4 linked regions of the Schizosaccharomyces pombe genome follow. Changing the gene in region 1 together with any one later gene gives a genetic interaction. Each region holds a gene or a part of one and is shown on either strand. Other genes may lie near its edges.

Region 1 (10,575 bases):
TACTGTTCTTCAAAAGCAAATCCACAATGTACGCAAACATAAATCAGAGTCTAATTAAGTCAGTAAAATTGTTTTTAAACCTAAATATTAAAATTGTTTTCTCAATGAAACAATGCGAAACACACCATCATAGTATCACCCCGACGAGAATGAGTCTGATAAAAAACTGCTTCATGTTGATGACAACGCGGGCATTCTTTGTCTGATCTAGGTAAAGTAGGGTCCGTTGAAGCGTCGTGACTGACCGTCGTGTTTTCTCTACAAATTTAGTGATTATTCGAAGGATGAAATCTAACTTACACATTGGAGCTTTGTAACTCATGGCGATAAACTTTACTAGTAGCAGCGATCTATACAAATTAGCTGATGAGATATTTAAAACTTCCAAATGATGAGGAAAAAAGTAATCGAAAAGAACTTCGAATTTTTTTCTTGAAGTGAATAAACCCAGTAGGAGAAAAAAACAAGCTTACCTCTGAGTAATCACAATTACGACAAGCTAGCCTCAGAACACGATCCACTTTATCCTCTCTAGGGTACCTATTTATTTCATGTTAGTGTTTTCAAACAATTTTCAGTGTCATCTTTTTGAGAAACTAATCCGTACAGCATATTATTGCATTCTATACAATATTGAAAATTTGACATTTTAAAAAAGCAAACAAAAGTATTTTACTTCAACGCAATAAACTTTCAAAAGAACGTGGTGGTTAGTGGATATGGAAAATACAGTGGACAACAGCGTCCTGATGGTTCACATCTATAAGTTCGAAAAAGCTTTTGTTTATCTACAACGTCTCTACAAGATTTCGTTAAAAACTGTGTAGCTGCTTTAAAATTTATTTGCGATATACTTAATATTACTAATTATATAGAAGATATATTGACTTTAACGTGTAGCATTATTCAAACATGGACTAGTCCTACAAACTTGTAACATCATACTTCAGTATCTTACATTATGCACATCAGCGAGTAAAACGGTAATTTACAGTATGAGTTTGATTTTGGAATTAACGATCCCTTAGCATATGCTTTAGTCGAATTTATTTTCGCTTTAAAAGAAGACTACAAAAATAGTTAAACATTTTTAAGCATAACTTTAAAAAATGTCGGGGTTTTGTGTTCTTGGTTGTGGTACAATGGGAAAAGCACTTTTGACTGGAATCTTTGATTCCATTGCTGAAAATGGAAACGATGTTTCTGACGAAATTATCATTCCGAATAAGTTCTATGCTTGTGTCAAATTTCCTAAAGAAAAAGAGGATGTTCAAAAGCTTTTCGGAGATCGTGTTAAAGTTGTAATGGGGGCCAAAGAGAATGCCGAGATGGCTGCGATTAGTAACGTTTTGTTGTTGAGTTGTAAGCCTCAGGCCGCAGAGGATGTTTTGAATTCCCCAAAGATGAAAGAAGCGCTCAAAGGAAAATTAATTTTGTCAATTTTGGCTGGCAAGACCATCTCTTCATTGCAAAGTATGCTTGATGAAAGTACTAGGGTGATTCGCATTATGCCCAATACTGCTAGTCGAATCCGTGAAAGTATGAGCGTAATTTGCCCGGGACCCAACGCAACTGAAGAAGACATAAAGTTTGCTGAATGGGTATTCAATGGCATTGGACGTTCAATGAAACTTCCCGAAAAGCTTATTGATGCTGCTACCGCTGTATGTGGAAGTGGACCTGCTTTTGTTGCTACTATGATTGAGGCTATGACAGATGGTGGTGTAATGATGGGTATTCCGTTCCCTCAGGCTCAGGAATTGGCTGCCCAAACTATGGTTGGTACAGGTCGTATGGTTTTACAAGGTCAACATCCTGCTATGATTCGTAATGATGTTTCAACTCCTGCCGGATGTACAATTAGTGGTTTGTTGGCATTGGAAGATGGAAAAATTCGAAGCACAATCGCACGTGGTATAGAACAAGCAACCAAGACTGCTTCTGGCCTGGGTAAATGATACTAGCAAATTCATTTTGTGCTATTAAATATCCTGGTTCCAAACATGGATTTGTATATAAAATTCTTGGGTTAGTACTTCTGTTTCCTCTTTAAAGCTAGTTTCGTTATCTAGTTGTATTAAAGCGTTGTGACTTAGTTTCATTCAATGATTCCTCTGTTTAAGCTTGCAATTCTGTTACATTACTAATAATATGCGTATTCGAACAGCGAGATTATATTTCATTAACTTTTTAGAACGTTGTATGCAATTAAACCCATTTCATTGCGATTGCTATCGTAGTGAATTTAGCTAAAGGTATTCAATATTGAAGAAACGTACTATGTTTTGATTATTTTAACATTGTCATAGTCGTACCGATGTAAACAAAATCACCACCATAAACAGCTCCCGTATTTTAAATTTTTATCCTTAATTCGACTCTACTTTTTTTTATTAAAAATACTTAATTGTACAGGTATCGAATCTTAAAATTCAACCTGCTTAAGGAGGACCAAGGAAATTTGCAAGTTGTTCTTCGCCATCCGAACGTATTCGAATATGAAAGTATACATTAATGTGTATGATCTAATGCCAGACAGTCCGGTAAACAAACTAGCATGGACTCTTGGACTTGGTATTTACCATACAGGATTGGTTTTAGAAGGTAAAGAATATGCGTTCGGAGCACACGAAATTCCTGGCTCCACCGGTGTGTTTGCTACCATGCCAAGACCGCCTTTAGAAGGGTGTAGATGGCGCTGTTCTATTGCTTTACCTAATTGTACCCTCCCTAAACCCGACGTGGATAGAATTTTGATTCGTTTGAGTCAAGAATTTACGGGGTTATCATATTCTTTATTAGAGAGAAATTGCAATCATTTCACGAATGCTGCAGCAATTGAACTTACGGGCAGCCCTATCCCTTCTTTTTTAAATCGAATTTCTCGAATTGGATTGGCGTTTCCTACGATCACGAATGCCTTATTACAGCACGGTCAAAAAAATACATCCGACGTTGATGATTCCTCGGATTCTTCTTCAGATGTAGATGAAGAAACTTTAATCGTATCAAAAAGTAAAAAAGCTCATAAAGATATTCCTAAATTTTCCGCACCTCCTCCTTCTGCTGACCTCAATAACCTCATCACTGATTCACTTCCTTAAGTCGCATGCTGTTAGTCAGCCTTTTAACCTACGAAATACAACACACACATCCAAAATTGTAGATTTTATTTATGCCTTGTTCTATCAATTAAGTGTAAAGTCAATTTGGGACTTTTTTTTAATTACTTGCTTTCTGATATATATCTCTTTATTCATCTTTGTTTGGTATTTTATTGTAGAGTGTTTTTTTATTAGTGATTATAATTAACTCTACAATAATGGCTGAAAATGAATTGAGATTATTAAACAATGCAGAGCTGAAGCTCGCTCTAGCGGAAAGCGAGGACTCCTTTCAATCGCTTGTGTCAGTTTTTTTATGTCCGATTTTACTAAAACTCGATTCGCCTCATGAAAGTGTGAGAAACAAAACAATTTCAATTGCAAACCACATTATGACTAGGCTCAACAATAACGCGCAAGCCATACTACCTCTTGAAGCCTTAGTAAGCCAGTACGTTGAAGCAAATCAACCTTTGCGAAAAAGATTTCTCCTTGCTTTCATATCTATAGGCGAAAAAAGGATACCTTGTTCTGAAAATTTGGCCCTTCTCCAGATTTGTCTAAATCATGTCAATGAATACCCATTAGTATTATTGACATTGACAATTCGTTTACTTCGTTTTTCAAAGCCAACTTCGGCTATTACATGCTCTAACGATGTCATTTTATCTCTTTCTTCATTCTATTTGATTCAGAAAGATCAAAGGATTTTTAGTGACCTGCAATTTTCCCAAAAAACAGTAGATTACCGCTTGAGTCTGCTTCGGTGGATTCATTTATCTAGCTGGCCATCAAATTGGAAGTGGTTGGCTTACTTTTTTGCCTCTGCTGATTCTCATTCTGAAGTTGCCCGACTGGCAGATGAATTTACGCGTGATAGTGGATTACCTGATCTAGAGAATTTGTCCCACGTGAACGTTCTATTAGACATAGCGCTTGATAAGTTTCGAATCGAAGCTTTGCACGCAAACTTTTCTGTTTCCATTAGCTTAAGGAACAAGGCAATTCAGCATTTACTTAAAAGTAAAATTGCTGCGAATACTGACAAAGCTATAAATTGTATTGAATTCATTCTTGAAGCACCTCCTAGTATGCAACCCCGGTTAATACAGTTTACTCGTTGGGTAGTTGACAAAGCTGATCCAAATTTTCTTAAACCTAAAGCTGCGATGATATTGGAAAAAATTCTTAGCATCTTATCGAGTAATATAATTCAGAGTGATTTACTTAGAGGATTTTTATATACAACGATAGGTTTACTGACCAAGGTTGATAATCATCTGATTACTAATTCTTTGCTGACAAATTTATTGACCTCCTTACAATCTGAATTACCAGACGTACGAGTTTCAATTGACGAAGCTCTTTCTATTATTATTCCGTACTATAGTAATTTTCGATTTTCTAACGAATTGTTGCCAGTATTAGAACCCTTTATTTTTGATTCACCCGAGTCTCCTGCTGCGTATTGCGCACTTCGATTTGTATTGGTTGCTTTTCCTTTTGATTATTTGCCAGCTCGTTTTATTTGTCTAAAGGTACAAAATCCTTTCGTATTTCACCACTCTTTTATTGAAGAAGCTAAAAAAGGACTAAACTTATCTCAATGGGTTCAGTATAATAGTGTGTATTCCACGAATGAAGCTCAAGAGGAAGATAAAGTACGTGCCGCTAGTTATCCTTCTGCCTCTGAAGTAATCTCTTTTATTTTGTCGGACCATGATTTAAAAAAATTTTGGGAATCTAATGCTGCAGAGTATTGTTTGGCCATTCTTGAGTTTATTGAGAGATGCATTTATTATTCAGCGGATAGAAGCTTAGAGCTTTACGACAATGACAAGCTATCTTCTATAGACGCTTTACTGATTCAAGATTCCAAGTTAAGAGAAATGGTGTCTGAAAAGTGCATTTCTTTGTCAAATTTTAATGTATTTTTAGAATATGTTTTTTATGGTACTCTACTCATGCACTTTGAACCCACTTACGCCCTCAGCAGATTGGTATCCTTTGCACCACCTGAAGTTACATTTTCTTTACCGGAGTTAGATTTTCTAACGTCTGTATTTAACTTTCCACTTGCTTTGCGTAATACTGCAACACGAATACTGGGAATAATACTTAGTACAAAAGATTCAACTCGTATATCAGAAGTACTTTCTTCTTGCTTCACTATTATCTCAACGTCTAACAATAAAAATGACAATTTTTTCAAGGCTGAGACTGCTCTTCTAATCATCGGCTATACTATCTCATACTTGGCTGCTCAAACTAATTCAGCAGCCGTCGATTCTTTCATTCTCAATTCTGGCAGTATAAAAGAATTTTTTTCTGTTTTATTGGAATATCTTGGTTCCAATGTTTTGCACAAAAAGACCACTTCACTTGCTATTTATAAAGAATTGTTTGTTTATTTTACTAGAGACTGGATTACTTCGTATGGCGTTGACTTTGACGAAATTTTAAATGTTTTGCTACGCTTTCTAAAAGAGGTTGAAGATACCAACGTAAAGGTCGAATGTTTACACGTTATATCACGTATGTCGTTATCATTTTCAGATGATGAAATGGCAGAAAAGATTCTTAAAGCCATCTATGTTACATATCACATGGACTCTCCTGATATATTGTTTGCGAGTGCTGAAGCCATGTCGATACTTGCTGGTGGACATAGAAACGTTTTCGTGAAATCCACGTGCCCCATTTTTTTTCAAAAACAATTGGACAATTATAAAGCAGATCACTATTGCTTTACCCTTGATTTCATTTTAACTGATTGTGTCAATTCTCCAAAACCCTTACTTCGTAGGGCCTCTTCTTTATGGCTTTTTTACATAGTTCGCTATTGCGAACCTCAAACTTATACAATGACGCGGCTTAATGATATTTATCATTCATTTCTCTCATTTTTGGTTACTCAAGATGATTTTGTTCAGGATACTGCGTCAAGAGGCCTCAAAGCTATGTATGATGTTTTAGAAGGGGACGAAAGAAAATCATTTACTGATAATCTGATAAGCACAATTGCTGCTGACCGCGTTGATGAAAAAACCAAAGCTCCTTTGGACGCAGATACTGCCCTTTTCACTACAAATAAAGGTACTGTAGCCACCTATAAGGATATCTGTTCTTTAGCATCCGAGAGTGGTAATCCTGATTTGATTTATTCATTCTTGAGCATAGCAGGTAACAGTTCTCTCTGGCAAGCCCGTAAGGGATTGGCATCTGGTATAAGTTATTTAGGTATTCCCGAGGATCAAAAAAGAAAGACGTTTTCATTTGATACTTCTAAAAGCTCTTCATTATTAAAAAAGCTTTATAGATTTAAACATGACCCTAATCCTGATGTTGCCAAAACAATGGGTGAAATTTGGGACACATTAGTACCTTCAGATCTCAATTTGGCATCTCATCGTAAATACTTAGTGGAGGATTGCCTCGAGTTTATGGGGAGCAGATCTTGGAGAGATAGGGAATCCAGTGTAAACACTTTGGTTAGTCTTCTTTCTAATGTTCCTGTGACCGAGTATCTAAATCAATTAGAGGATATATGGAACATGTCTTTTCGAACTCTTGATGATATTAAAGAGAGCGTTAGGGAAGCGTCCTTTCCACTTTGTAAGCTTTTAGCAAGATCAGTTATTCAATCTTTGGAGAAGACTTCACACAATACTAGCCCAAGCGGAATTTGCAAAGGCAAACGGATTGTTTCAGTAGCTTTACCATTTCTATTAAAACACGCTTATGATCAGGCTAAAGAAGTTCGTTCACTTACATACTCTACCATCACTGAACTTGTGCGTACTGGCAATTCTACTTTGACTTCGTTTGTGCCGGCCATTATGCAGGTTATGCTTGAATATTTGACAGAGTATGAATCAAAAGCTGCTACCTTTTTGGATTTTCACGCCAAAAATTACAGCATTAAACAAGAAAATATTGACAACGCCAGAACGTCAGCCGTTCAGAGCTCTTCAATGATGGATACGCTAGAGAAGTGTATCGGCCTTTTGGATGAAAGCTCAATGCAAACATTATATCCAATATTAAATAGAATGATTGCTAAACCTGGGGGTGTACCTACCAAAATAGGCAGCGCCCAAGTGGTGATGCTTTTAGTAATTCGTCGTGGACCACTCGTCAAGCAGTTTGCTTCAAAGCTGCTTCAATCCTTGAAATCTTCTTGCTTTGATAGAAATGCTGCAGTAAGTGATGCATTTGCATCTGCTATTGGCTATTTGTTACGAGTTTGCCCGTTGGAAATAGCTTCACAAACTTGTCAAGAAATCATCGATAAATTCTACGATGGAAATACCAACGAACAAATAATCAGTTCCAAATTGACCGTGTATGCGTCGAGATACGCACCCGACGTCTTCCTTAATCTTGGTTCTCTTTTTTTTCCTTTCATTTTTTTTGGGAAACATTCTTCTTCCATTTCGATAAATGGGGTTTTAAGTAAAGCATGGGATGAACTTTCATCTGCCGGAAGCAGTGTGAACCTGTATTCGGAAGAAATTATCCTTCTTATCCAAAAAAACTTAATTGTTACAAAATGGGATGTCAAACGTCCTGCTGCTGCTGCATTATTGGAATTTGTCAATACTTCGCGACTCACTTATCGACAAAATGATATCTACGTGCTTTTAAATGAAACAATGAAAGATAAAAGCTGGCCTGGGAAGGAATTACTGCTTGAGGCTTATGTTAAATTTTTAATTAAATATCCTGAGTTCATTAAATCGCAAAAAATGGAAGAAGTTCACCAAGTGATTGTTAGAGAATTTAAGAGACGCAATATTGTTTACAAAAGCCATGCAATGGAAAGTGTTGGTGAACTGTTATCTGATGAAAATTATAGAGAGCTTGATTTGTATGAACTATCATTAAATGAATGTGGTACATTTTTGCAGAAGGAATGGTTTGATAAAGATGATGAATTGAATCTTGAGGAAAAAATTGCGCTTCAGCGCAATAGCGTCTATGCCATGTTTAATTCCAGCAGACCTGGAAATAAGAATTGTAATGAGATGTTGCTAACTTACTTGTCAAATGCCCTTGATGAAAATTATTTACATTGGAATGTGAAATTAGCAATTCTGAAAAATGCTCCTCACTTAAAAAAGATAATGTCTAACGAGGAATTCTTACTGTATAAAGATATTCTTTATCGTTGTTACGAAGACAATCCGTCACCAAAAGCAAAAGATTATGCTGAAGTCATCTTCGGCGAAAATTATTTAAGTGTTTTAAGAAATTAGCTTCATTATATTTATAGCTAGTGATAAAGCTGATCAGCCATTTGAACTTTCTAAACACTCATTTCTAATGCTAACATTGTAAAGGATTAATTAAAGAATATTTTATACAAACCTTTGACTAATGTATTCATATTTGATTTTAAACCTAGAATGTAAGCGATTGATGTTGAAAATCCAATAACGATAATAATAGCTTTTACAACAAATAAACAACAAGTGAAGAATACTAGATGCCAGTCACTTGGTTTTTTTTTTTAAGATTCTTCAACTTCACGTGCTTTTCTAGCGGCTAATTCTTCGGCCTTTTTTTGGTTTTTCAAGTATTTAGCCCTCTCTTCGCTCATTGCTGCAAACATCCAAAACTGCCACATCAAATCGCAAAATGCAAAAGTAAAAGTAAGGCTGTTGCTAGCGATATGCTCTTTTTTGAGGTAAATAAAGCCGGTAAGGATAAAGTCAAATATAGCACGAATTGGAGTAATTCCACTGAAGAACAGGAAATTGCTTTGTAACAATGAGATAGTATAAATCATTCCAAGAATCAAAAATACCAAGCCGGACAATGCAAGAGTCGATAAGTTGTCTTGTGTTACTATCAATGGTTTCTAAATTATAATGGTCAGATATCACTTCAAACATTAATCAAGAAATTAAAAAAAAAAAAAAAATACTATCTACTAAAACAATAAAGTTATAATCACATACAACTTCCATAGAAGCACCAATTAACGCGACCAGTCCACTTTCTACTACAAACTTGGGATTCCATAAAAATCCAATGCCAGCAAATGTTAGCATACAACAATAAAAAAGAACTATCGCTCGAAAAGAGAACAACATCGTGAAATCAGAAGACGACAAATGAGCAACTATTAACTTCTAGAGACTGTACTCCGTGGTTTAGAAAGAGAATGTAAAACTAATAAGTTTTTTTCGGAAAGAAAATGTAGAGAGTTTCGATGAATATTTCGTTCGTACTTTTGTTTTCTCAACGTCGCACCAATTATATGCACCTGATTTTTGCTATTTTACGGTAGTATCAAGCTCTGGGAAGTATGTACTCTCAATTAATGGTTATATTACGATAGTTGAACTTAACTTCACTATTGTTGCTAGTTGCCAGCGCTCGCTATCTGTATTTAGAATTAGAAGGTGAATTGAATTGAGAAATATAATCAATATAACAAAATTACAAGTATACGTTTGGTTTTATTTCTTCAAAGTTATTTTGGTATGAAAAAGTGAGATGCTGACAGATTTCAAGTCAAGAACTCTATATTTTTTAAAACCACTTCAACGAATTTTAGGATCTTGAAAAGTACATCATTTTTACTAATTATAGGAGGGTATTTTCAAAGGATATATTGTATGTAGCATCTAAATAATTTTTATGAAGGTCTCAAAGGGTTGACAACGGTTGTTTTTGGAAATACATTACATTGACCATAAACTGAAACGATGTATTTTACAAAAGGCAATTCAATTTTACAAACTTTCAGCTAAATATAAATTATGCCAGGATTCTCGTTCATTTGACTAGAATGTGTGCTTGTGATATTTGTTCTCGCATTGGTAAGTGCCCCGAAACCTCTTTGTAAGTGGCACCGTACCACAAATTGCATACATACAATCTATTATATCAGATATACAGTTTTATCTTGGGTGGTAGATAATAGATATATAATTTCCAATTCATATTTATATTGTTTTACCGGTTGATTGAAATTTGCCAACCAATTTAATAAAAAGCGTTTGTCAAGATGCCAATAGATACACCGTTGATACCCCATAAACCTATTTCAAGATATCGCTCTGGTAGATTGGAAGGGCTGGAAAGTGAGTCTTCTTCTGAAAGTGATTATGAAGAAGTTTCCGATTCACATGATCAAGAAAACTCGATTTCTTCATCAAGACATGTTATTACTCCAGTATTCGAGAAAGAAGGAATATCTGAAACCAAAACGTCTTCTAATTTCCAAAACATTAACCCAGTCCAAACAATTGATAACTCTGCTTCAGAATATGAGACTGACGCATCATCGGCAGAAGGGGGATCTAACTCTGCAGCATCTAGTTCTGAAGAAGAAGACTCTTCTGATTCGGAATATGAGATGGAGCTGAGAAGGCGGACACTTCTTCTTCCGCCAAAATTTACTAGTAAAGTCATCAAAAATCGGGCAAAAGCCAATGAAGAAGATACTGAGGTGCTTAAA
Region 2 (6,022 bases), on another chromosome or scaffold:
GCGGCAGGAGCCCAAGTTTGAGCAAATCCAAAAATGAAAAGACATGCCATGACAATCATAACGGCACCAGCACGGGTATTTGAAGTACCGTTCTTATGATATAAAGCACGAGAACCGACAGCTGAATAAATGAAAAAGCAAATTGACTGCCAAATACCACCAATGATAAGAGGGTTACGACGACCAAACCTTTCCAATACATACATACCACCAAAAGTGCAGCCAAAATTAACTGCATCAAGAATCATAGCAGATAGGTAAGGAGAATTAATACCAGCTCCTTGCATAACTGAGAAACCATAGTAGAAGAAATAGTTGTTACCGGTCAATTGTTGAAGCGACATAACAAACATACCAAGGAAAGTACGATAACGAATGTCTTTACCGAAAATGCTTGCCCAGCTGCAAGGGCCACCAGCAAATTCTTCGTCAATAGATGATTTGAGACGGTGATATTCATTTTGAACTTCCTCACTATCAGGAAAAAGCTCAGCACTTTCAGAAAGAACTCTAACAGCCTCTTCATCCTTGCCAACTTGAATAAGATAACGAGGGGATTCGGGAAGGAAGAGAATTCCAATCATGGTAATGATACCCCAAAGGAGATTAATACCAATTGAAACACGCCACTGGGCAGTTTTATGAAGTTTGTGAGTACCCATATTGATACAAGCGGCAATGAAAATTCCACCAGTGACAAACAACTGATAAGTGACGACGACGGTACCACGAATACTGGGAGGAGCAGTCTCTGATTGATATCCAGGAGCCAAGACAGAAAGAGCGCCAATACCAATACCAGTCCAAATCTTGGCAACCATGATTTGTACCCAAGAGGGAACAGCGGTAACTTGAACGATGATACCAATGATATAAACAGCACAAAAACCAATGATAGAAAGTCTCTTACCAAAACGATCGGCAATGGGAGAAGAAATGATACATCCAAACAAGGAACCAACGTTAACCATACCAGTTAAAAGACCTTGACGAGCCGAAGACAAAGAATACTGGTCGGTGATCGGGTCATATCTATCAGCATAACGCTCACGAAAATCGCGCATACTAGTAACACCACCAATGGAACCGGTATCAGCACCAAACATCCAACCGGCCATGGAGACGAAAATTAACATAACAAGGGTAAAATTCTTTCCACGCTTGAACCCCATTTTGATAAAGTATAAAGGAATCTAATAAAGATGAAAAAAAACAAAAATTCTATAGAAAGGATGTAAGTGGAAAATAAAAGATTGAATAAAATTAACCACACGTCTATTTCAGTTGCAACACGTTAAGCAGAAATGATAGAACAAAGAACAGACAGTTTATGAGTTAGAGATCTTGACAAGAGATTCTCAATAAATAAAAATTAAAAGAAAAATTAATCTAGATTATGATTTTCAAGCACAGAGAGCTTGTATTTTCAAAATCGGTATAAAGAAAGGGTAACCAAGGAAAGCACAATGCTTTTATTGAGCTTTCTTTGGATTTCGTTCTTGTTTAACCAAAAAAAGAAAGGATTTTTAGGTAAATGAAGACTAAAGTTGCTCTTGCACTTAAAAAGCAAGAATAGGTCTAGGTAAAGATTTTAACAGTCAAGAGGGCAGCTTTTATACTAAATTCGGGAAGAGAAACCCCGACAAAAGTATCAAAAGTCCTTTGCTTTCAGTGAAATTTTAGACAGGATCGCCGGAGAGTTTTTGGTTATACGTCACAATATTACAAGGGCAACAAGGTAGTTAGCAAACTCTTGTATCATTGGACGCCGACTTAAAAAAACGCAGTCACACACAAATAAGAACGAATAAGATGTGGAATAGAATTTAAACGACGTGTATGACGAGGATCAACAGCTCGTTGAAAGTCAAGAACGAGGTAAAAATGTCACGATATCATTAATTCTCCATAGCAAAAAAAAAAATTCAATCGTAAAATGATACACTGTACGTAATGAAACTGATGCATATACTGGGGAAAGACACTATTAGTGAGGTAGAAAGCCGATAACAGGATGAAAAAACGACTTTCAATAAATGTGATGTAGGAATAATTCTCAAAAGTAAAGTAAATTTAAATACTTTGGCGACCGAGGCTGCAAGTTCGGACTGCTAGCAAATACAGAGTGTATTCCAACGTCAATAATTTTAGCAAAGTAACCGAAAAAACCAAGTATATTTCTATACTCCTCATATCGTTAAATCAAGATTGAACACAAAAAAACGTTTCCTGAGGCAAAAGAAGTAAAGTGTCTGCAGTAAAATTAATTCGCAAGGCGAAAAAATAATACCAATGGTGGCCATACGTATTGGAACCAGCAAATATCAAAGTTTAAAACACAGCATACTCTCATCGCTGCATGACTATCTCAAAGCTGGCAATAGAACAATTAACGTTACGGAACCATAATCCTTCAAATTTCGATTGCTTGCATTCTCGAGCTCCACATATTCGAGTCCATAACGGAACTAACCTAAATGCGGAGTTCCTCTAGTATTAACTAGTAACATGAATAGAGCATAGCCGTGCTCTTTTTTTTTAAGAAAACGTCACGCAACGTGTATCTTATCTCTGTCCTATCCAAGTCAGGATAGCTAGGGGCCCCCAACCTGGAGACCATACATCGACCGCGACACCAACCATCCTAGCGAGACTCCCTAACAAGAAGGTAAATATGGATGGACAATGAACCTTTTCAAAAAAAAACAGAATTCTCAAGCGATATATTCGCTCTTGAACAGTTCGGTGTAAAAGGATACTTCTATCCCTTGATTACGTGTACGCCCATACTTCATTCGGACTATAGAAGAAATATGGAGCTGTAACCCGTACTGCAATTGTCTGTGTTAAGAAAATGTAAACGCTGCACACTAAATCATCACTAATTCATCGCTAACTAACGTAGTCCCTAAAAAGTTATGAACTTGGTAAACGACTTTTGAGGCCTTGGGACCTCCTTAAATACGCCCAACTCATTACTAACAAGGTTTGCTATGTCCGTGAAAAGCGCCTATTGTACATATATTGCTCCCATATATGTGAAGCTTTTGCCCAATCATTGTAAGACAGGGTCTTGCTATATTTCCCTACCCCGCTCCATTCTTCCCAAGTCTGAGAAAAACTGTGGAGAAGCCTACCAATTTTGCCTAAGGGGATTTTGATCCCGCCTCTGCAATCTATTGGACGATAATAGCTATAACTACATTTGATTGGATGAAAGACATGTGATGAATGCTGGATGGTTTTGTTGTTTTTAAATGACCACCGATAATTTTTTTAGTTAGTACGCATACATTGATGAAAGCTGAAAAATTATAATAGGGTGAATAAATGAAATTCTTTTTGTGTCTTTTACTCTAATATCGTCTGGCAATTTTCTATTTTCGTACTTCGATAGCGCCATACATGTCTTGTCACCCGTTTTTACGAGCTAGGCTTAGAAATATCTTGGAATTTTTTTTCAGACATGTTGATGATTGGCTGATACTTTTTCCAGTTCTGCCTCCTCCACAATTTGCATCCGCGTTTTCCAGAGACGTTGGGGCAATAACTTTGTCTAACATTAAATTGAAATTACAAGGGTAAGTATTTGAATCAAGACTAACCTTTATACGTTGAATGTCTTCGATATTGTAGAGAATGCCTTGAAAAAAAAATTTTATTTGTGTTAATACAATCTAATATTGTGGAATAAAAAATGGTTTGTGACTGCTCTTCTGTTCTCGGCTGTTGTATTTCTTAATAGGACGGCTCGTAAAATTCGTTATTTGCGCGTCCAGTACACCATCGATTCCCATATTATCCACAGTTTACAAATAACAATATTTATATCATTTTCTTTACTTTGGGTAAACGCTCTCTTTCAGTAACTAAATCAATTGTTGTTTATAAAATTTTTATTCTTTTGTTTGCGCGTTCAAAATTTGTCTGCACGGTAAATCATTAACGCATAAACTCGGTTCTTTTACCTAGGTATCTCGTAAATTATATAAGGATTTGTACCATATTGTAACAAAATACAAGGCAAACTGAATTATTGTACAGATTATCGTATTCACTATTCAAGCATTCGTAACTTTTTCTGCAACTGAAAACAAGATTAATGAGCAACAACATGGTCAAACATAGCGATGCGTTATCGTGTTAAAACTACGTCCATTTATTGAAGTTCTTCCTTTCGCGATCTTTAACTTGGATAAGGAGTGTTTCTCTCCATTTGATATTTGGTACATTAGAGTACTGTATTTTGAAAACAAGCGCTTTTAGAATACATCCAACGAAATATTAATGCTGGCTATAATTTACATTTTGAAATTGAATGTAAAGTCAACCATTACGAGCCATATTTACTAAAACAAGGTGGTACCTGAAAGACTACTTCTTTTGGTAATTAGCTGGAATTTAATGCCATAAGCTGGATTGTCTTCCAATTTTTAAATACTCGTGTTTTTTGATTCATCATAACATTAGTGCCGAAATTCACTGTGAATATCTTTTTATATTTAACATCCAATGGATCCTCAAACAAATTCGCATCAAGAGGTTCAACAACCATCTCCTAAAGAGACAGACTCTCAAACACCGTCAGAGACTCTCTACATACGCAACATTGAAGAAAAAATTCGTCTTACTAGTATGCCACTAATTTAAATTGTTTTAATTTAATTTAATTTCTAACAATCGTAGTGTTGAAACGAATTTTAGAACATCTCTTTGGGTCTTATGGTAAAGTCATAGATGTTCAAGCAAGAAAGACTTTGCGAATGCGCGGTCAAGCATTTGTAGTATTCGACAACTTGGAGAACGCGTCACGAGCGTTAAAGGATTTACAAGGATACCCTTTGTATGGAAAGCCCATGATGATACAGTACAGTAAATCTAAAAGCGATATTATCGTACAAAGAGAATCTCCTGAAGAAATAGAAACTAGGAAAAAAGATAGGAAAAATAGGAGAGGTATAATCTTTTTTATTCTAAAATCAAAGACCTCACTTTACTAACCTTATATTATAGAAATGCTTAAACGGACTAGCGCTCTTCAACCCGCAGCTCCCAAACCCACTCATAAAAAGCCGGTTCCTAAACGTAATGTTGGAGCTGAGCGTAAATCGACAATTAATGAAGATTTGTTGCCTCCTAATAAGGTACTTCTGTTACAAAATATCCCTCAAGAAGTAAACGCAGACGTCCTTACACAAATTTTCGAAGCGTTTTCTGGATTTCAAGAAGTACGTATGGTTCCCGGTAGAAGAGGAATTGCATTTGTTGAATACGATTCTGATAGAGAAGCAACGGTCGCAAAAAATGGGACAACAGGTATGTCCCTCAGTGGAAATCAAATAAAGGTAACATTCGCTCGGAAGGCCTCGTAGTTGATTCTGCAACTATTTTAATTCCCTCTTTCAAATTTTTGTTGCAATAATCATCCAAAAGTCACCTTTCGAAATATATAAAGCTCCTATCATTTTCATAATTGATCATTTGTGTATATAAATTATATAATGCAATTTTGCAGGCCCAAAATTATGTATATCAAGCATGTAATTATGTTAAGCTTTCAGTACCTTGAACCCGCTATATTTTCCAGACGATCCTTTCATTAATTCGATATTTCCTTTTTTCATTAGTAGCTCAAGAACTTTATGGAGGAGTACTTCGTCTAAACAATCTACCTCTTTATATTGTTCTTGAAGTTCGTAAAATGTACATATAGACCCTTCTCGTCCCATATCGGATAGCTGTAAAACAATTAGTACTTTCGACTATGCAGAAAATGGCTTACCCATTTCAAGATCATATTCCCCCATTCAGATATAGACCTCCAGTATACCCAAAACACGTCTTTAGGATTTCGCTTTTCAGTCCATTCTGCTAGGTTTTGTTTCACCATATCCTCTACTATTTCTCGAAACACCGAAAGAGGCAGCGTTCCTATTTGGTAAGAAAGAAAGTTAGCACTAAGGAGTAATACAAAGAGTTTTCTTACTATGAATTGTACTGTTATGAAGCAAAGAACTTTCTA
Region 3 (6,684 bases), on another chromosome or scaffold:
GTGGGTCAACTTGAACCATGGCACCCCACAGAATTAGACCAAAAAATAAGGATACACCCTGAAGTTAAGGTTGATAGCTTGACGTCTCTCGTTACTTTTAACGAAATTGACTTAAGTAAACCTAAATTACCCAGTCGAACAAATTCCAACGTGAAAGGCTCGATTGTCGAGCAGAAATTTAAGTTAGTTTTGCAGTTGAAGGGATTTGGAATTTCCTTAATTGACAAAAAATATGAGGAATTTGCATATGCTACTTTGAAGAATTTTACTTTTAGATTTGATGATAGTAAAGACCTTAATACTTTTGGAATGTCATTGGGATGGCTTCAAATTGACAATCAGATGTTGGATTCTGTATATCCAATTGCATTGTTTCCTACAATGATTACCCAAGAAGTCAAACAAGACGATCCCCAACTTTTACAGCTGCGATTTTCCGTCCTTAAAGATAGCAGTTTTAATATTCTATACATTAAGTATGCCTCTCTCCTTCTTCAAGAGCTATCGCTCGAAGTGGAGGATAGATTGGTTTTAACGTTGTTACAATTGCTTTATCCATCATCCGATGTTTCTAAAGATTCTGCAAGTCTCAGCAAGAACGCTTTTGCGGATAAGTTTGAAATACCAGATCTTGACGCGGATGTTTATCGCAGTAACGTATTTTTTGAGACTCTCCATTTACAACCAACCCGATTAAATATATCATTTGAAACTTCTTATGAATCGGATCAACCAGCTGTCAAATCTTCCAATCCCACATTAGATTTTATGACAGGTATACTGATTAGCACATTGGGTAATATTCATGATGCTCCCGTGCAACTGAATTCCATTCTTCTTGAAAATGCTCGTGGCACACTTTCCGAAATGGCAAACCGAGTGGCAAGTCATTATAAACAGCAGGTTGGTTACCAAATATACAAAATTGCCGGGAGAGCTGATTTTTTGGGAAACCCCGTTGGTTTGTTCAATAACGTTGCATCTGGTGTATTTGATATGTTTTATGAACCCTATCAGGGGTTTTTGTTACAAGATTCGCAATCATTCGGTGATTCATTTGCTCGTGGAACATCTAGTTTCATGCGTAAAACTATTTATGGTGTTTCAGATAGTGTATCAAAGATTACTGGGACGATTTCTAAAGGTCTTTCAACTATGACTATGGATCCAAAATATCAAAATTCTAGAAGACGGTTTCGTTCAAGAAATAGGCCAAAAGAAGCTGTATATGGCGTAACCGCTGGAGCTAACAGCTTTTACGACAGCATGTCTAGTGGATTCAAAGGTCTCAAAAAGCCATTTACGGATCCAAAAAACAACAGTGCTGGCAAATTTTTGAAGGGATTTGGCAAGGGTATGCTTGGTTTAGCTACCAAACCTGCTATAGGATTGCTTGATATGACCAGCAACGTGAGTGAAGGCATTCGTAACTCAACCGATGTTCGTACTAATCCTGAAATTGATAAAGTACGTGTGCCAAGATATGTTGAATTTGGAGGTCTAATTGTACCATTTAAACCCTACGAGTCGCTCGGAAAATATATGTTAAGTTGTTTGGATGACGGCAAATATGCCTTTGATGAATATCTTTACCATGCTGAAATTCAAAATGTCGACATTCTATATATCAGTACGAAGCATTTTATTATAACCGGAAGTAATTATATTGTTAAAATCGCTGTACCCGTGAAACAAATTAGTGGTTTGCGGGTATCTGAGCATGACTTGGTTTGTACGTTGTCTAACAAGTCAGTGAGATATTTACCTTTGCCAGCTTCGCAGGAGATGAGGCAAAACTGCATAAACGCTGCATTTACTGCTTATTCAGAACATTATAGATTGCGATTGAAGCAGATATCCCCACTTTAAATTATCAATTTTTTTTTATATTTTTGTTTACTTTTTAAACTATTGTATATTTTCTTCTATTCAATTGATATTGTTTAACTGAATAGAATTCTTCTTGTTTGTTTACATTTGCTGTGTTTTGGCAGCGGTGTGAATCCCTCTTTGACTGTGAGTATCTTTCCACACCAAACTTAGAATTGTTTGTGAAAGAGAAAAAAAAACCGATTATGAGCATAACGATGTCCGATTCTTCTGCTTACGGCGAGGAATTAATGCGTGAGCGATTTGAGCACTTGCTTAAAGCTTACGAAAAAATGGCTTTGATGGTAGCAGAACAAGAGGAGTTTAATGCTAAAATTGAGGACATGGCTTTGAAATTATTAAGTGAGAAATATGACAATGAGGCTTATCAAGCTGAACTGTTTTATCGCTTGTCTAATTGTGTGGAAAAAGTCCTGCACAATAAAATAAGTATCACTGATCTAAAGACTGAGTATGAGGAGATTCTTGAGCAAACGCTGAAGAAAGAATGCAAGGCTTATGAAAGATCTTGTATTGAGAATGTGAAATTAAAGAAAAGAACAGAACAAGCAACCGCATATTATGCTAGTTCCTCAAGCGAACCGTAAAAAATGGGACATATGAGTCGATGTAAATTTCTTCGAATTTATTAGTTATTAAGCATACTCAGTCTATGTGTATCTTTTCCTTCTAAAATTTGACATGACAATTTACGACGGATAGTGAATGGAAGTAATGTGCAAACTATGTCATATATTATTTTTAGTTTTTTACATCTCTCCATTACTGATGGAAGTATCTACTGTTTAATTATGAATGTTTTATAAATGAAATAATTTATTTGTATGAAAAAGCATTATTGCGAAAAGTCTGTACAACTCTTGGTAAAATTATCACCATGAAGAAGCTTTTTATATTTAAAGCGTTTGTTTATTACCCCTTTTCAATCGTATTCAATCATATTCTTATAGTAGTTTTTATATTTACGATCCATCCTGCATTGCCCTTCTGTATCGGACAGGTTGAAAACGCGTAGCGGATTAAAAATCAAGTTTGAACAGACTAATGTGCTTTATTAAACATAATTTGAGAAATTAATTATCTTCTGTTCTAAGATACGTTCAAGTTTTACTCAAAAAATCAATGTGTACATCAGAAGGTTGGAGTATTTACCTACGCTTAAAATCAAATTTGCTTTGAAAAGATATTAACTTTCAAATGTTCAAAATTGCCGGAAAGCGCATAAAAAATATTATTAACTACTTATTAAAACATGTTAAATAAAGCATGAACAATTCCAAGCAATTTTTGAAGTACCAACCCTTACTTGAATGGCTAGCAAAACACGAAGCTTACATTTCACCCAAACTGTATATCGCTTCAAGTGGGGTCGCAGGAGATGGTATATTTTCTACCTTTGATATAGATGAACTTGAAGTTTTAGCAAAGATTCCTAGAAGGATCATTCTGAGTCCTCGCAACTCAAGATTTGGAGATTCGTTGTATACACATTTTAATGAATCTAATCGGTCTGATGATATTAACTTTGACAATAGAGATCAGGTTGGGCTGGTCATGCTCGTTATAACTGTAATATTGGAAAATATAACAGATAGTCCGTGGAACGCTTATTTAAACACCTTGGACGAAACTTGTATGCCTGATTCCCCATTATTATGGAAAGATAAAACGTGTCTTGAGGGAACCTCAATGCTTGATGTAATAAATACAAATTTAAGAGTATACAAAAATCAATATGATCAATTGGTCCGCCCTTACTTTTATAAACATGCTGATCTCAAACAGCTTTGTCCAAAATGGAATCAGTATTTAGAGACTTGTGTTCTCGTCCAAAGCAGGTGTTTTTACGTTAACAGCTACTACGGTTTATCTTTAATACCCTTTTTCGATATTTTTAATCACAAGTCTGGTCCAGCTATTGCTTCGCTACATTGTCAGGAGTCAAATGATCATAAAGGCGATATCAAAATAGAATTTATTTCTTTTCAGTATATACGAAAGATGTCCGAAATATTCAACTCCTTCGGAAACTTTGCCGCTGATGAATTGTTCACGCAGTATGGATTTATTGATACCGCTTGCAAAGTTTGGCGCGTCGACATGACAATGATTGCTTATGAAACTAACAGAAATTTTTATATGGAGTGGATTCATAAAAAAAGAATAATCAACACCCAGGAGTTGCTGGTCACCCCAACTACATACGCAAATGACAAGTCTGAGACTTTACGTTCAGTAATGATAAGACAACCTATGGATCTTTATATAATAACAGATCATGGTCCCAGTTACGGGCTTTACTTATATTTATTTTTTTGCATTTACAAAATCAAATTCCAAAAGTGCGATATGAATATAGTAATGCTTACAAAGTATTTTAATGAAATCTGGGCTGTGTTTATAGCACATAAGGAGGGAGAAAAAGAAAAGGTTGTTGCTCAACTCTCTGGTTTTTCTTTTTATTGTAAGGCTATAGAATTTCTACAGATGCTGTGTCAAAAGCGCATTAGTCGTTTCAAAAATGGTGGGTTGACTGCTGAAGCTTATAAGACTCTATTGTGCGATCCGACTCTTAAACGAGAGAATAGGTCTCGTTTAGTCTTACAAATTTTTTATCATGAACTTAATTTACTCGAAAAATCAATGCAAGAAACAATTTATCTTTGTACTGAAAATTTTGAAGATTAAAAAAACAACATACAACGGTTGGAAATGTTGCATAAAAGGAAAAGGTAAGATCGAAGTTCAGCTTAAATTTTAATCATAATTTTGTGCCCTTCTTAATTAACATTGTAGTAACTTTATGATGTTTTCCAAAACCCTGCATCGTTCCCTTTCTAGATGTCCTGTGTAATAAATAACCTATTTGCCATTTCAAACTTTCGGTATAAACAGCATCAGAAATATGAAAGCGTCAAATTAAGCAAATGAATTAGTAGGCATAGAAATAAGAAATCCGATGACAATTTAGATGAAAACCAGTGTAGAGCACATAAAGTGTACAATTTGTGAAGGAATAACATAATATTAATCGTGCATGGTAAACTATGCTTTCCATGGCATTCTTTCTTATGAGAAAAGGAAGTAGAAAACGCATTTATAAAATGACTTTACTGAAAATACATATGGCATCTTTTTCCCTTTAGTTAATTAAACTAAATGATAAAATATTAAAATTAGTCACCGTCTTTGATGATTTGGAGATCAAAATATCCCGGAAATAGTTTTTTGAACCGCAAAATTCCAAACTGTTAAGCTAACCGATCCTACATGCCATGTTAGTATTTCAGCTGCCATTGTGATAAATGAAAATAAAAATAAAAAAAAGATTTTCAGAATTTTCATTAAAAACAACATACCGTAGATTGATCGTGGAAGAGATAGCACCCATAGAGCCCAAGAAGGAAGCAAGAATGCAGGGAGGAAAAAGACAGGTGTTTTGGACTCTTTGAATTGAATATAAAACCGGAATCCACGGGTTAAAATCCAAAGAAAAAGGCTTAAAACCCGCTTGAAAGTATCTTGGAAAATTTTAACATTGGCTGATTGTTTTTCCCACTCTTGACTGAGTTGTTCATACTTTCTATTCAGACGGGCCCATTTAGCAAACTGATCTTGACTGCTAGTAGCGTTTAGCTCTTTCTTAACAGTAAGCAGCTGCTCTAAAATTTCTTTGTTCTTCTTTAAATCTTTATTATTAGAAACACTAACGTAAATTCGATAAGCCTTTCACATTATTAGTTTTCTTTACAACAAGTATATATGTTAAATTACCCCATCAATAGTCCTTTTTTTTGCAAATTTATCGAAGAAATGAATAAATAAGCTTAATAAAATTGTTGAAATAATCAGATCCATCATAAAATATGGACTTGTAAGAAAGTACAGTGGTTAGTGTCAAACGTGTAACTGTTGAGTATCACGCTCCCTATGACATGCTGGTCTAAAGGTCGAAACTAAACACAAGTTTGTTTGTTACGATATTAGCTATTTTGTGTTAGAAAATAATAATCTATTAACCTTTTAAAGTTCAGAAGAATTGATGTTAAGTATATTTATCTAGCTTCTGTAATATTAAATAGAAAAAATAGATAAAATAGCTATATGATATTCAATTGACAAATACTTTGATCATGAGATCCATGAAAGTAACTATTTTCATTCATAACGCTTTATTTAAATTCAGTAAATTGACAAATTAGGCAGAAGGTTGTTGAGGAGATGGGGGGATTGGTGGATTTCGAGGATCGTGATCATTTTTATACTCAGACTGACGCATAAGTTCAGAAATATTTAAATGTTTGTATGCATATGGCCTTGGTCCAAGAATCGTCTCAACTTCGTTATAAGTGATGACTTCTTTCTGTAATAGACGTTGAGCAATATTTTCTAAGCCTTGCTTATGTTCTAGCAAAAGTTTCTTAGTTCTTTCGTATGCATGCTTTACAAGCTTTCGAATTTCTTCATCAATCATTTGAGCTGTAGCCTCAGAAAATGGTTTTTGAACAGTTTCCCGAGTGTCGATGGGATAAGCTATAGTACCAACAGTCGGAGACATACCATATTGGGTCACATACGCTTGAGCCATGCGCGTTACTTTTTGAAAATCATCGGAAGCTCCCGAAGTAATCTTTTCTGGTCCAAAAAATATTTCTTCAGAAACACGCCCAGCCAAAGCCATTCCCATTTGATCTAAAATCTGCCCTCGACTCATCAGATACTGATCTTTGGGTAAATAACTAGCATAGCCAAGGGCTTGAGCTCTAGGAATGATTGAGACCTTCAATAGTGGAT
Region 4 (7,627 bases), on another chromosome or scaffold:
TTTGGTACCCCCGAGGGACCTTGGAACAATGCCCAGAGAGTTGAAAAGGTGTTAGGAAAATCACTTCGAGTAACTGCTCTCATCAACCCCTTAATTAACGAAAGCGAGCGTGTTTTGAAGTCTAAATGTGCATCTGACGTTGCTTTCGCTTATGAAAACACCAAGACGTATGTCTCTGTAACTGAGTACTTGGAATACTTGGATTCCCATCCTGAGGATGTCCCTTCTGCTTATCTCATTGGCATTCCTCCTGATTTCCATGGCTGCACAACTCCGGGTATGGACATGGAGTTGGAAATTTTAAGAAAATACCCCAATGCTGCTCTATTTATCGAGAAGCCTATTACTAGTGCTCCTGTCCAAGGTGCTTTTAACCTCGTACATGAATTGGAGAAATACCATGCTATCATTTCAATTGGTTATATGTTCCGTTATTTAAAGATCGTTCAAGCCGCCAAGAAATACGTTGCCGATAATAACTTGAACATCGCTTGTACCATTGCAAGATATAACTCTGCTTACGAACATAATAACAAACTTTTCTGGTGGTACATGTCAAAGTCTGGTGGTCCCGTCGTTGAGCAAGCTACACATTTCTGTGATTTGTCCATCTATTTCGGTGGTGATGTCGATACTTCTACCGTCAAGGTAAACCGTGTAAACTGGTACGACCCTTGTGGAAAATTAGCTAAGGTTCCTGTTGACGAGGAGTCCATTCCCAAAGAGGAGCGCATCCCCCGTTTCACCGCTGCATCATGGAAATATAAGTCGGGTGCAGTTGGTATTCTCGCTCATAGTATCATTTTACAAGGAACGAATTATGACACTTGTCTAGAGCTTCAAGCAGATGGTCATTATGTTCGTATGGTTGACTTTTACGGTCAACCCAGACTTTACATTCGTTCTCCTGAGGCTGATAGCGAACGCATTATTAATTTCCCCGAAGATGATCCCTATTATAATGAATTTGATGCTTTCTTGGGTGTTGTCCAGGGCAGATATCCTCCTAGCCGCATTTTGTCCAAGTTTGACGACGGCGCTAAGACATACGAGTTGACGAAGATCATTACGAATAATTAAAGTATAGAAGAATTGAACACACAACTTTTTTTTCCTTATATTTTCACCATTTTGGCTTTTTTCTCTTTTTCGTTACCTTTCATGAAAGTTTTCCCTTCGTTATCGGGAATGTTTTTAGACTTAGTTCCAATATCACATGTCGTTTATATGTTTGTTTCAATTTGCAGATTACTTTTGAAAATGTACGATGACATATCACATCCTTCGATTCCTCTCTGTTGTAATGACAATGTGTTTGTATGTATTCGTTAAAAAATTGTTGATCAATTTTCTCGTAACGCGAAACTGTATTCTTCAGTAAACATAAATTTTGGTTACTAACGAAAAAAATATAGCATAGTTCAATTTAAAAAATTTTCCTTAGGCATAGCATTTAGTATAGTTATTATAAATATCTAAAATTCAAAAAAAAAAAGATCAATCTAGCAAAAAAATACTTTGGTGTATCGACCAACTACATTGTAGTGGATAAAAAATCGTAAGTTATTATTGACAATTTGCTTTTCGTAATACATAAAGAAGGTAAAATTTATCAACAATGAAGTAGATAATATTCATATAGATATTTCAATGGTTTATACATCTGTAACATAACTAAGACATATGTTAGTTTTTGTGCAAAGAAATGGAGAAATGAATAAAAAAAAAAAACAAAGACTTACTTAGCTGGGAATTGACCGGTCACTCCATTAAGTATCCCTTCAGACCATCCGTTTCCAGCGTTTCGATTTGTGACCTGAATTATATCACCCTCTTGGATTGATAATTCCATATCGGATTGAGCTGTGTATGCATATAACGCCTTAACATAAGAAGAATCTCCATCAAGTGTCACACTCGTATTTAATTCATCATTCAATTTAACATAAGAAGCTGGAATCAAGCCATCAGTTCCATCGATTTTTACTCGAACCCAACCAGAGCCATCTATATTGATCTATTAGAATGGGATTTTTCAAGCTTTACTTACCATCTGGTTCAAGTAGCGTAAATTCCTGTCCTTCAGAAGCTGTGATTACCCCTTCATGTTCCCCGGTAAAATCGTAAAGAACTACACCGTCAACCTTTGACGCTGGTTCAGCAGGCGTTGTTTCTTCTGTTTTCACGTTGCTTAAGGAAGTTTGATAAATACTACTTGAATCCATATCATCTGTGTATGTGTTACGATAGGATTCATAGGCATTTGAAGACGACGCAGAAGCATCAAAATCATCAGTGGCAGTAACACTGGTATCTACAGCATCATCGTCGGCCACTTCGGGCTCACCATTTTTGCAGTTGGCGGGAACAAGAAGTTCACACCTTGCATGGCATTTGAAGCCACAATCTACACGTGTTTTGTTAGTTAACGAAAGAAAGCAAATATTTCGTACTTTTGCAAACACATCCACGCTTCGATAACCCCCAAATAATTTCACGACAGTAACTGCAACTTGTCGGAAGTTTAAAACTAACATGTTTGAAATCATGAAAACGACCTCCTTCTTCTAAATTATTCGCAACTGACGTGATCTTGTTGATACGAACCTCTAAATCTTCTATTCTGGCCTTTACCATGAGCTCTTTCCCTTCTAGATTTATCGAAGCCTTTTTAGATTCAAATGACTGGTTAGCACTATTTGGATCATCGACGCGTAAACCTTCCAATTGTGAATCTAACGATACAAGCTCGCCTTTCTGTTTTCCAAGGTCATTTTTGGAGTGGACCAGTAAATTTCGGAGGTAGTTTTTACATGAACCATCCACCACCAGTGCATCCGTGTCATGCCAGATAGGACTAGGTTCAAAATGCAAGTCAGCAGGAAGTGCCCAATTCTTTGAATTGTGCCTTCCGAACATGGCAGAATCAAGGACTGGTTCATTTTTTGCAATTTCTGATTGAATTTCAACGGTTCTTTGGGATAAGGTATCATGGAGAGACTTTTCAATTGAAAAGCTGTTACACCATATTTCATTTAAATTCGAAACCCTGTATTCGTTCAATACTTGCATATGATTAAGGAGCGTTGGTAGAGTTTCATTATAAAACTTTTGCTTGTGGGCGTTGTATACAAGCATACGAAGTAGGTATTTATTTTTCTTATCGAGCATATCACTTTCAGATAATTTTAAATTTCTTTGAGTTTTTTGCTCTCGATATTTATCGTTTTTTTGCCTTGCGCTTTCTAAATCATCGCAGGCCTCATGGTAACTGACCTTGGCTCTCTTCACACTGTTTAACAATGTCTCCTTTTCGGATGAGAATTTTTTATATAAATCATCATAAACTTTTCTTAAAGCCTCTATATGAGACTCTAGTTTCTTCAGTTTTTCAGCAATGTCCAATGAATAGTCATCGGATAGCTTTTGATGAGTTTTTGATGAGCGCGTTAACTCATCCAAAATTTTAGACCATGTTGTTAAAGAAGCACTATAAAATTAGCCTGTGAACAGGAATTCAATATCCATCTAACTTCAATTGCTTGACAGGTTCCAATATTTTACATACCATTCTAAAGAGCCAGCAGACATTGCCGGAGTATCTCCGACTGAAAGGGCTGATGATTTTCTGGATTTCTTCTCCCCATATTTATTCGAAAGACTGGCTAATTTCTGAGCATATTCTTTTTCTAGCAACAAAGTTAGTCATTGAAATTTAACCATTGTCGTTTCTTATTTACCAATAGAACTTCTTTCTTTGTAGTACAATTGAATATCTTCAAGCCATTTCGCGCCATTATTAATCTTTGTTACAATGTGTTAATTGTTGAACTGTCTTCATTTTCATTCTTGGCATACCCAACTGTCGACAACTTTAAAATCGTCCTTTTATATATTAGTAAATATGCCAAATAACTAAAACACCTTACGTGAAGTTCATCACTAAATTTGTATGTTTCCAGGCTCATTATCCAGTATTATCTACACGTTTGATATCGCTGCAATAAAAATTTGTACCGGATATAAAACAATTAAAAAGAAAGTTTGACGGAAGAAATTGTGACAATTTTTGGCTTTACGTTACGAATGTTGATGAAAAGGAAGTACGGTGGTGAATCGAAACCTATATTGTTCAACTTTCACTTAAGGAGTAACTTAGCAATCACCAACTACATTGCCCACCAGAAATTGTCATCCAGTTTGCTAAGTCATCCTTGCTGAGTTTGGATATCTGAACTATAAATTTGATTTTTTTTATTTTTTTTACTAAAAAACATCCAAAATGTCAACTACACTGGGACAGGAAAGCAAAACTGACTGGGCTAGTTTGGACTCTGATGAAGAGGTTCAAAGAATTAGTGATAAAGTCAATCAGTTAAATACTTCAGAAAATAAAAATGAAGATCAAAAAGCAACAAATTTAAGTGACAGATTAGGTCCAAAAATCACTGAGAATGTTGATGCAAAATCTGAGCAAGACAAAGCGACCAACACGATTGCAGAGGACGCCAATACGAAGCAATCTGAAAATGATGAATCTAATTTAATACCAAATAAAAACGAGGTTCGTGTAAAATTAGCAGATCTACAGGCTGATCCAAACTCACCTCTTTTTTCTGTTAAAAGTTTTGAAGAGTTGGAGCTCAAGCCCGAATTATTAAAGGGAATTTATTCAATGAAATTCCAAAAACCCTCAAAAATTCAAGAGAAGGCGCTTCCACTTTTACTCTCAAATCCTCCTCGCAATATGATCGGACAATCACAATCCGGAACTGGTAAAACCGCTGCATTTGCATTAACGATGCTTTCTCGTGTTGATGCTTCTGTTCCCAAACCTCAAGCTATCTGCCTCGCTCCTTCTCGTGAATTGGCCCGTCAGATTATGGATGTCGTGACGGAGATGGGCAAATATACTGAAGTAAAAACAGCTTTTGGTATTAAAGACTCCGTCCCTAAAGGTGCAAAAATCGATGCTCAAATTGTAATCGGAACGCCTGGCACTGTGATGGATTTGATGAAGAGAAGACAGCTTGACGCTCGCGATATTAAAGTATTCGTGTTAGATGAGGCAGACAACATGTTAGATCAGCAAGGATTAGGAGATCAATCTATGCGTATCAAGCACCTTCTTCCTAGAAACACTCAGATTGTTCTTTTCAGTGCTACCTTTTCGGAACGCGTTGAAAAGTACGCTGAACGTTTTGCTCCCAATGCTAATGAAATTCGTCTGAAGACTGAGGAGCTTTCTGTTGAGGGAATCAAGCAGTTGTATATGGATTGCCAAAGTGAAGAACATAAATATAATGTTTTAGTGGAATTATATGGGTTATTGACTATTGGTCAATCAATTATATTTTGTAAGAAAAAGGATACCGCTGAAGAAATTGCTAGGCGTATGACTGCAGATGGACACACTGTTGCTTGTCTTACCGGTAATCTGGAAGGTGCACAACGTGACGCTATTATGGATTCATTCCGAGTAGGTACTTCAAAGGTTTTGGTTACTACGAATGTAATTGCTCGGGGTATCGACGTATCGCAAGTCAACTTGGTTGTAAACTATGATATGCCTTTAGATCAAGCAGGAAGACCCGATCCACAAACATATCTTCACCGTATAGGTCGTACCGGTAGGTTCGGCCGTGTTGGAGTAAGTATCAATTTTGTTCACGATAAAAAGAGTTGGGAAGAAATGAACGCCATTCAAGAATACTTCCAACGTCCCATCACGCGAGTGCCTACAGATGACTACGAAGAGCTTGAAAAAGTTGTCAAGAATGCACTTAAAATGTAAAGCATGTTGATTTTTAGAGATTATTTAATACATAGGTTTCTTGGTACCAATTACTAAAGGAATATTATTTACTTATGCTGGTATTTCACTGGTTTTTTTGCATATCAACTACCGAAAGAGAACGTAATCTCACTTACAAAAAGTAGAGAGCAGAAGTGTGAAAACAAAGAAAAAAGAGTATACATTTTGACTTAAGATTGCATTGATTAAGACGTATGAAACTTTAGCCAAAAAAAATAAAAATGTTTGCTTAAGAGGAGGTAGCCTTGTCAACGACATCACGAGCAAAGGTAGGAAGAACAAAGGAAGCAGCATGAATTTCACTGTTATAGTACTTACAAAGCTTATTCTCTTCTTCGGGAGACCACTTGCGAAGAGGCTTGCTAAGGTCGATGGAAGCATCCTTGGAGGCTACAACGAAGCCGATAGATCCAGAGGGATAGGTGGGGATAGTAGTGTATGCGTAACGAACATTGGGGAAAACTGTTTTAACGGCAGTCAAGACATTGCTGATGACACCCAAATGAATCCACATACACTCAGCTTGAGTAGTAATGACACCGCCTCCACGAAGAGCATCGGAAAGAAGTTGAAAGTAAGGTTTTTGGAACAAGGCTTCGGCAGGACCGTCAGGATCGGAAGAGTCTGTAATAATCACATCAAAAGTATTTTGATAATCTTGCAAAAATTTAAAACCGTCACCAATGTGTACCTTAACCTTGGGATGATTGAAACCTGCGGACATCTCAGGAAGGTATTGCTTGGAGACTTTAATGACATCTTCATCAATATCGCACAAGATAGCCTCTTCGACACATTCGTGTTTGACCACCTCACGAAGTACACCGCCATCACCACCACCAATAACGAGAACTTTCTTTGGGTTGGGGTGACTGTTTAGAGCAAGATGAGCAATCATTTCTTGGTAAGAAAACTCGTCGCGCTCAGTGGCTTGAATAGCACCATCCAAAACCAAAACATGTCCATAAGTTTCACTCTCAAAGACCAAAACATCTTGATACTTTGATTTTCCTGCATATAAAACCTTTTTAACCTTCAAGGTCATGGCTTGACCAGGCCACATGTTGTTGATCTCACGAAACCAACCATCTTTAATAAGAGGATGAGAAAGTTCTTGAACAGACATTTTCACTTCTAAATAACAATAAAGACACACAAAAGCAAGTAAGTAAGGTTGTAGTACCAAGCAAATACAAACGTTGCAAACTTTGCTTTTAGGAAAATTTTGTCATGTCGCATATTTAAGCGTGACCGTTTTAGCGCAGCGCTTGAGTTAAAAGTAGCATGTTAAGATACGTTACTTTTTTTAAAAAATGAGCTTAATTGATATACTTTCGGTTGTTGCTTACATTATTATCAGCGATGCTTGGCAATGAAAAGTAGACTTCTATTGTTGGGAGTGGATTTGGAACAACAATCATATTTGACGAAGCTAAAACTGATCGAGGAAACATTTGAATTAGTAAACAAATGTGTTTATACAATATTCCTTAGTTAATACGATGTCGTTTAATAAATCAAGAATTGATCAACGTAGAGGTTATATCAGCATTGTGCATCAGTATAGAGAAAAGTAGCAGGGTAAAAGAATAGTATGATAGATCTTTTGGTTAAGATTTGGAGACGAAATTATAACTACCATATGAGAATACAGGAAAGTGATATAGTATCGATGAATAATGTATAAGAAAAAAGCGCAACAATGACTTGAAGCGCTTATGCACAGTACGCATATAGTACACTTTCATAAGTTTGGCTCGTTAAAAATTAAAATCACGAGACTGGTGTGGTATAAATTGATGTAAATTCGAC

The links.
Region 2: mutations in ecm29 (region 1) and usp102 together harm fitness less than expected from each alone (positive genetic interaction), as found in Schizosaccharomyces pombe (one large-scale study listed by BioGRID).
Region 3: mutations in ecm29 (region 1) and SPOM_SPBC16C6.01C together harm fitness less than expected from each alone (positive genetic interaction), as found in Schizosaccharomyces pombe (one large-scale study listed by BioGRID).
Region 4: mutations in ecm29 (region 1) and bzz1 together harm fitness less than expected from each alone (positive genetic interaction), as found in Schizosaccharomyces pombe (one large-scale study listed by BioGRID).

The regions. Positions count from the first base shown.
Region 1 is NC_003424.3:4,751,685-4,762,259, forward strand, and holds ecm29 (proteasome assembly chaperone Ecm29), read left to right. Parts: upstream 1-3,129; 5' UTR 3,130-3,322; coding exon 3,323-8,362; 3' UTR 8,363-8,542; downstream 8,543-10,575. Other genes in the region: DNA-directed RNA polymerase II complex TFIIS subunit Rpb9, read right to left, coding at 1-50, 126-258, 301-350, 474-540, 608-648; pro3 (delta-1-pyrroline-5-carboxylate reductase), read left to right, coding at 1,110-1,958; sdu1 (PPPDE peptidase family protein), read left to right, coding at 2,499-3,104; SPOM_SPAC1782.02C (uncharacterized protein), read right to left, coding at 8,617-8,967, 9,068-9,202; splicing-associated factor Saf3, read left to right, coding at 10,123-10,575.
Region 2 is NC_003423.3:3,422,722-3,428,743, reverse strand, and holds usp102 (U1 snRNP-associated protein Usp102), read left to right. Parts: upstream 1-4,264; 5' UTR 4,265-4,512; coding exon 4,513-4,633; exon of another isoform or gene 4,634-4,686; coding exon 4,687-4,956; exon of another isoform or gene 4,957-5,013; coding exon 5,014-5,372; 3' UTR 5,373-5,522; downstream 5,523-6,022. Other genes in the region: plasma membrane glucose/fructose:proton symporter Ght2, read right to left, coding at 1-1,172; ESCRT II complex subunit Vps25, read right to left, coding at 5,550-5,738, 5,783-5,931, 5,987-6,022. UniProt on the Schizosaccharomyces pombe protein: Involved in nuclear mRNA splicing.
Region 3 is NC_003423.3:4,318,014-4,324,697, reverse strand, and holds SPOM_SPBC16C6.01C (lysine methyltransferase), read left to right. Parts: upstream 1-3,067; 5' UTR 3,068-3,156; coding exon 3,157-4,578; 3' UTR 4,579-4,622; exon of another isoform or gene 4,623-4,686; 3' UTR 4,687-4,861; downstream 4,862-6,684. Other genes in the region: vps1302 (lipid transfer protein), read left to right, coding at 1-1,869; protein Spo2, read left to right, coding at 2,076-2,477; GET complex subunit Get1, read right to left, coding at 5,095-5,156, 5,250-5,616, 5,665-5,751; m-AAA protease Yta12, read right to left, coding at 6,089-6,684.
Region 4 is NC_003423.3:2,462,514-2,470,140, reverse strand, and holds bzz1 (diacylglycerol-binding protein Bzz1), read right to left. Parts: upstream 4,114-7,627; 5' UTR 3,969-4,113; coding exon 3,930-3,968; exon of another isoform or gene 3,886-3,929; coding exon 3,859-3,885; exon of another isoform or gene 3,805-3,858; coding exon 3,741-3,804; exon of another isoform or gene 3,690-3,740; coding exon 3,569-3,689; exon of another isoform or gene 3,491-3,568; coding exon 2,454-3,490; exon of another isoform or gene 2,408-2,453; coding exon 2,051-2,407; intron 2,008-2,050; coding exon 1,743-2,007; intron 1,675-1,742; coding exon 1,656-1,674; 3' UTR 1,402-1,655; downstream 1-1,401. Other genes in the region: SPOM_SPBC12C2.04 (NAD-binding dehydrogenase family protein), read left to right, coding at 1-1,080; ATP-dependent RNA helicase Dbp5, read left to right, coding at 4,283-5,794; srm1 (spermidine synthase), read right to left, coding at 6,045-6,941. UniProt on the Schizosaccharomyces pombe protein: Plays a role in endocytosis and trafficking to the vacuole. Functions with type I myosins to restore polarity of the actin cytoskeleton after NaCl stress.